Linked DNA regions of Coturnix japonica. The protein of the gene in region 1 interacts with the protein of each later gene in a biochemical or structural test. Links are inferred from orthologs where the notes say so. Each region holds a gene or a part of one and is shown in the gene's direction. Other genes may lie near its edges.

Region 1 (4,135 bases):
ATTGTGACTAAAAGGTAGAACCAAGACAAAAGGAAAAGACATGAAAAGCTGTCTTTAACTGAGAAACTGCAATTGCAGACAACTGTGTCTCAAAAAGTGAAACAGTCTGGAGTGCATTAGGATTTTACTGCCTCTTCCACTGGTGGTAGAGTTGTGGAGGGGGGGAAGAGAAGACAGCAGTAACTTCCAGAAGAAGCTTACGTAGTCATTTTGAAACGGGCCTAAGGATACACTGATAGACAGTAAACAAAATTAAAATTAAATAAATAAATAAATTAATTAAAAAGCAGGGAAAAAAAACAACAAAACAAAAACAAGAGAGCTGTCTACAAGACAAAAATGAAAAAAACTCCGAATACTGCATCCAATTCAGGGCCTCCCAGCACTGTAAAGACATACACCTGTTAGAGCAAATCCAGAAGAAGGGCACAAGGATGATCAGTGAGCTGAAGCATCTCTCCTATGAAGACAGGCTGAGAGCTGTTTATTTTCTTGCCTGGAGAACAGAAGGCTCCAGGAAGACCTTGTAGCATCCCCGCAGTGACTAAAGGGAGCAGACAAGGAAGCTGGGTGGGTACTCTTTATCAGGAGCGATAATCACAGAATCACAGAATGACCCAGGTTGGAAGGGACCTCAAGGATCATGTAGTTCCAACCCCCCTGCCTGGCAGGGCCACCAAACATATACCTTTACTAGATCAGGTTGCCCAGGGCCCCGTCCAACCTGGCCTTGAACACCTCCAAGGACGGGGCATCCACAACCTCCCTGGGCAGCCTGTTCCAGGGCCTAACCACTCTCCTAGTGAAGAACTTCCCCCTAACATCCAACCTAAATCTTCCCTCTTTTAACTTGGATCCATTTCCCCTAGTCCTGCTATTGTCAGCCCTTTCAAAGAGTTTACTCCCCTCCCGGGTTTAGGTTCCCTTCAGGTATTGAAAGGCTGCAATGAGGTCACCCCGCAACCTTCTCTTCTCCAGGCTGAAAGATAAGACAAAAGGTAACAGTTTTTGTCCTCAGGCTCAAAGTTACCAAGCTCAGAGGAGAGGCCGCAGTAGTTCTGATTACTGAAAACGCATAGAACAGTTGGTGACAGAAGGGAAGAGCAGAAGGGTCTGCAGTAACGCGTTCCCCGGGCGAACAAAGCCCCCTGCCCAGCTGCGAGCCAGCACCCCACCACAAAGCAAGGCGGTGCGGGCATCCAGCTCCGCCATGTCTCACCTGTGCTCTGGATGCGGTAATTCAATGTGTCCGCCCGGGAAGGGCCGACGCCGGGACCTCCTCCCTTCCTTTCAGTAGTTTCACATTCGCAGACGCAGATTCGACGCCGTAGAACCGGCTGCCTTCGCCCCTCCTCTTTGCGGCGAATGTGCCGTTCTGCGAGCAGCGTCAACGGCGGGTGGCTGTCGCCGGCTGCCGCGGCGATGGCCGGGATGGCGAGGAGGTGGGTGACGGGTCTGGGGTCGGGTCTGGCCGAGCCGCGCGGAGGGACAAGGGGCACAAGTGCGTGTTGTGCGGACCGTGTGTGCCCCGGTGGCGCAGTGGTTAAGGACGCCACTTAGCAACACTGGAGACTGGGGTTCGAATCCTCCCTGTGGCGCAAGTGGTCGAAGTGCTGCCCTGCTACACAGAGGCTCGAATCCCGGGGGTTGGACTCGATGATCTCTAAGGTCCCTTCCAACCAGCCCAAGACTGTGATACTGTGTGTATATACTGTGATGGCTGCCGTGCCTCCTTCAGGCGGGTTGGGATGTGAGCCGAACGGCGCCGAGCTGGTTTTTCTTCGAAAGCCTGTGGCGCGCGCGCGCTGCATTTGCCCGTCGCTTGTGTGACGTGCAGCCTCATCTCCTCGGTCTGAAAGTGACCGTGGAATGGAATCGATCTCCAAGGAGTTGTGTGTGTGCTGCCATAAGGGAAACAACAACATGGGATGAAACTACAGCATAGGAAGTTCAGCACGAATGTGCAGAAGAACTTCTTTACAGTGAGGGTGACGGAGCACTGGAACAGGCTGCCCAGGGAGGTGGTGGAGTCTCCTTCTCTGGAGATATTCAAGACCTGGACACCTACCGGTGCAACATGGTATAGAGAACCTGCTTTGGCAGGGGGTTGGACTCGATGATCTCTAGAGGTCCCTTCCAACCCCTACAATTCTGTGATTCTGTGCAAAAACCCTTACTTAGGAGCTATTCAGGAATGAAGATGAATGGATTGAGAGCAGCGCTGCAGAGGATTGGGATTGTTTGTTCATGAAAAACCCAACATGTCCCAACATGTGCCAACAGTGTGCAATTCCAGCCCAGGAGGGATAGCTGTACCCTGGGCTGTATTAAATGAGGGATGGCCAACAGGGCAGGGCCCTCAGCTCCGCATTCACGAGGGCCCATCTGGAAAACTGCGTTGATGCTTGGGGCTCTCAACAGGGGAAGGATGAAGAGCTGTTGAAATAGGTCTGGATGAGGGCCATGAAGATATCAGGGCTGGAGCACTTAGGAGTAAGGCAGTTTCAGGGGGTTTAGCTTGTTCAGCCTGGGGACAAGAAGACTCTGGGAAGACCCTATAGTAGCCTAATAGCACCTAAAGAGAGCTGTAAGGGTGGATAATATGAAAGATGGTAAATATTCAAAAGGTAAAGGGAAACACACCAATATCAATGCCTTAGCTGGAAAAAGCTGAGGCAATCTCCACCAGGGAGTGATCTCCAAGAGATGCTGCCTCAGTGGGGGTCAGCCCTTAAATGAGGTCTAGAGGAGGTGGAGTCGAGCTCCATCCCTTCCAGGAGCACAGCTAAATTACTCTCACCTGTGCTCCTGCAGCTGACCTAACACTTGCCTCAGCTGATTAATCAGAGGTTCAGGCTGTGATTACCAATTTCCCATACAAGAGCGTACAACAGAACTGAATAGGACTCTCAGGAAGACAAGAGGAAACTGTTTCAAATTTCATGAGGGTAGGTTTGGTTGAGTATTAGGGAGGAATTCTTCACCATGAGGGTGGTGAGGCACTGAAACAGGCTGCCCAGAGAAGCCAAAGTAGGCCTAATGGGCAGCCTGATCTGATGGAGGTGTCCCTATGCTCAGAAGTGGGGGTTGGAACTGTCCCTTCCTAACCAAGCTATTCTGTTCTTAGTAACCATATTGTATGCAATAGTAATAGTTACACATGTATTTGGACATACGCTGCTTTTCTCCTTAAATACATGATACAAACCAAATCAAGAATTAGCTAGTAGGGATTCTCAATACGAAGGGCCTAATACTGTGTTCTTTTGCCACAGGAACAGGAAAATTGTTAATTATTCAGAATTTGGGGACTTTGAAGATGGTGGTAAGTGGTGTATTTCTGTACATAACTGAAATGCCAAGCGCTAATGCTACAACCTAAAGTATCAGCAGAGTGTTCTTCTTTTTCATGCATTAGTTAAGTGACAAGGCTATTACTGTTTTCAGTGGATATAAACTGAACATGTTGAAAATCCTAATTCAGCAAGAATATGATTTCTGTAAGCCAAAGCATAACAACAGTTTGCCAGGGATCTGTTGAATGCACTGTGTCTTTTGATTGCAGGAAAATCTGTTTCTCTGCCTACCTCAGTTTTCAGAGAGTTACTTGTTCTGTGCCCTCCTGATGATCATTTCACAAGACTTCATATCAGAATGTAAAGGGAGTTATGTAGTTGGCTGTGCACAGGTCTAACATTTCTCATCCAGCTCTGTAACTTAAAGGATTTTGGATAAGAATTTAGCAATCAAATTTTGAGTTGAATTGGTAAGAAAAATAGATTGTAGGCTCTTAGTTTTCGTGACAATCCTCCTTTACCTCTAAGCCCTAATGGGTATTGTATCATTTCCCTTCATGAATTTGGTTTATTTTTCTATCTTCCTGTGCTATTTGTCAGTTTTTGGTATCCACTGAACAGTTTGAAGTGATAGGAAGGGGAAAGAAAAGTTAAGTGATATTGAAGATCCCTTGTAAGTCATGTGAGTTAATGCAGAGTTTCACAAGTTTAAATACAGTTCGTAACTTTTTTTTTTTAAGTGACCACTTGTCATACTACAAAAAAAAGGAAGCTTGTTTTCCTCTGTCCCTTAGATTTTTATCTCAGAAGTATCATGTATCTGTTCTATGGCATTTAGA
Region 2 (3,078 bases), about 21 Mb from region 1:
GGAGTTACTGAAACAGCAATTGTTGGTGGCATGACCGCTAAGTGTTTTATCAAATCAGGCACTGGCCCTGAGATCCTTCTTTACTTTATGCGTCTATCAGTTACCAAAAAGAAACAAAAGTATCTGATTTCAAGGAGATAACTAAAGGAGTCTTTGGAATTATTTAACATCTAGAGCTCTCCCAGAAATACCATTAAGAAGTCCTAAATGGGAGGACAGGTTTTGAAACTGGACAAATATCCAGCCTTCCCCCAGCTTCTACAGTCTAAACATACAAGAAACGTGGAGAACAGGATAAAAATGGAGAAGGCACAGAGAGAGAAGGCTGTGTCCATCGCCTCATTCTTAATTACTGCGTAGTGCTCTGAGGGACGATGGTGGGATGAACAGGATTCTTCCTTTTTTGGAATGGTTCAGAAATGTTGATGAGGAATGAGGAAATGTTTTGATGTAGTAAATGCCAAAAACAAAAAAGGGAACCATCAGAGGGAGGGAGAAGAGGCCTAGGGCATGGAGCCAACGGAGAAGATGGGAATTGGGCAAGACTTGTTCAGCAGAACACTGAAAAGTGCTCATTTTTGGCATGAATATTACAGCTGACACCAGAGCAAAATTAGGCTGTCTTCCTGTTAACCCCAGCCAGCAGATGTAAGGAACATTTGCTTCTCTTTCCTTTGAAATGTGAAGTGCCTCTGTAGCAACCTTGATCTTAGCGTGAACATGAGGGTATTTTTGAAATCTAAGTGGATACAGTTCACCTTTGCATTGTTCTCTATTGCAGAATATAACGTGGCTGTGTTTGTGACCAATCAGATGACCGCCGATCCAGGAGCAACTATGACGTAAGGATACTCTCACTGTCAAATCTCTTCTCTTTTGGTTACATACTGAACTGAGATTGAGCAAAAAGCATTGACATGAAGGCGTGCTCCTCATGTTTTAACTATTTCAGGCTGCTCTTTTGTCTTTCTGGTATCATCATCCACAGATGACACCTATGGGTTTCTCTCTATCATGATAGTTTTGTTAATGATTTCTTTTTCCTGGCTGGCATGATGATTTCTTTTGCTATTTGATGAGAGGACGCTGAGTGTTGTGCATTTGAGCATCCCATCTTGAGGCAGGTGTGTTTATCTCCTCTTTTGATTTATACCTGTTTATTATTTGTTACTGACTTCACTGTGCGTTGCCTGACAGAGAATCACACTATTAGCCAATGGAAATCGCATGGTGATTTTTTGCTGGTTTAGCTTTCAGGCAGACCCAAAGAAGCCGGTTGGGGGCCACATCCTGGCTCATGCTTCGACGACCCGAATTAGTTTGAGGAAAGGGAGAGGAGAGCTGCGTATTGCAAAGATATACGACAGGTAAAGCTGTGTGTCTCTTCAGTTAAGAAGCTGCATTATGAACACAGCGGGGTGTCAAAGTTCACTGCACCGAAACTTAATAGCTTGTGAACTGATTGGTGGTTTCAAATGAACCATGCATCTGGGGGGTATATTGAGAGAACATCTGAAAGGACAGTGATCAGTAGATTTAGATCGGTAGATTCCAAGTTGTCTCACATATCGTATGTATTACGTTATGTAACCTCATAAATCCCACTAGATGTTGATCTCTTCATGAAGACTATCAAATCATAGAACCACAGAATGGCCTGGGTTGAAAAGGACCACAACAACCACCCAGTTTCAACCCCTTTGCTACGTGCAAAGGTCGCCAACCAGCAGACCAGGTTGCCCAGAGCCAGGGTTGTCCCTTGGCAGGAACATTCCAGAGCTGTTCCATCACTCACTTTTGCTGCCCTCAGTGGGGTGTCAGTTTACAGGCTGAGCTGGGGCAGACACAAGTATTAAACAGCATATAAGCAGAACTGAGTGGCCATTGCTCCTGGCCACCAGCTGAAACGGGCCAGACAGCTTTGCACACACAGAATCATCTCTCCCACGCTTCCTCCTTTCCCCTCACTTGAGTTTCTCATCTTGAGAGTTGCCTTTCACATTTTCTCATCTTGATGACATCATGCACGTCACATATTGAAGTATCCCGTGTCGCTTTGACTTTAAACCTTTGGCAGACCGTTCCATTTAACACTTGTGGTTCTCTTTTCCCCCCTCTTCCCTCCCCTCCAGTCCTGAGATGCCCGAAAATGAAGCCACATTTGCAATAACTCCTGGAGGGATTGGAGATGCCAAAGAATAAGTGGGAACCTCATGCAGACATACAGCTGTTAACCACCAAGGCGCTTCGTTGGGATGAAGATCTGCTCCAGGTCGCTGCCTCCCCTGGCTGCTTTTTATCTGCTTGGAATCGTTTGAGAGGTGTTTGGGATAAACCGTGTGTGCTTCAGTGTTATTCAGCTGGTTCATTTGGGGTCTTCTCTTTTTAATTGGCAATAAATAGCTGATGGAAACAACAAGCCCAGGAGCTTTGCGGCACTCCATGTGTGGAAGAAGAGAATTAAATACCTGGAATACTTTCACGTCGGCCAGATTGCTTATTGAAGCACTTTTAGAAGAGAATGACCTAAAGTTGTTTATACTAAAGGGAATAATAAAGACCTAAAACGAGAACAGCACTCTGTGTGTCTTTGGGTGCTTCTCCTCCAGCCCCACTCTCACTCATCCCCAAGCCAGATACAACCCAACCTTTCACAACCCGTGTGGGGCACATCAAGCCGTTGTCTCGCAGCCAGGACAAAGCACACATCATGGCTGCCTCCCCTCTCGCTGCTGCCCGTGTGCTGAGCCCACAGCCCCCTGACAACCTGCCCTGTGAGGGGGCCCCGAGCCCACCCGGCCCTCGCAGCCCCCCGCACCCCCCTCCGCCGCACCGCCCTTATTGTCTCCTCCACAGCGGCAGCCGGCGCCCGGCCGAACAGCCGCATTCTCTAAGCGCCGCTACGCTGAACGATCAGCGTAATCCTCCGACCCTCCGCCAGCCCTTCCTGCACAGCCCGCGGAAGAATTTTACGCAAAACGTCGGGTTCTTCCTGCTCTACGTCAGCCTGAGTTACGCAAGCTGCGTACGCCGTGCGCTTACGTAACGTACGCCTCGGCCTAGCTTTTCCCTACCCTC

The links.
Region 2: the proteins of RAD51AP1 (region 1) and DMC1 form a complex in vitro, tested with the Homo sapiens proteins (2 studies listed by BioGRID and IntAct). The link is inferred for Coturnix japonica from reciprocal best matches to the Homo sapiens genes RAD51AP1 and DMC1.

What each region holds. Positions count from the first base shown.
Region 1 is NC_029516.1:67,090,608-67,094,742, reverse strand, and holds the start of RAD51AP1 (RAD51-associated protein 1), read left to right. Parts: upstream 1-1,335; 5' UTR 1,336-1,365; coding exon 1,366-1,442; intron 1,443-3,275; coding exon 3,276-3,325; intron 3,326-4,135. UniProt on the Homo sapiens protein: Structure-specific DNA-binding protein involved in DNA repair by promoting RAD51-mediated homologous recombination.
Region 2 is NC_029516.1:46,421,127-46,424,204, forward strand, and holds the end of DMC1 (meiotic recombination protein DMC1/LIM15 homolog), read left to right. Parts: intron 1-781; coding exon 782-842; intron 843-1,250; coding exon 1,251-1,367; intron 1,368-2,132; coding exon 2,133-2,202; 3' UTR 2,203-2,578; downstream 2,579-3,078. UniProt on the Homo sapiens protein: Participates in meiotic recombination, specifically in homologous strand assimilation, which is required for the resolution of meiotic double-strand breaks.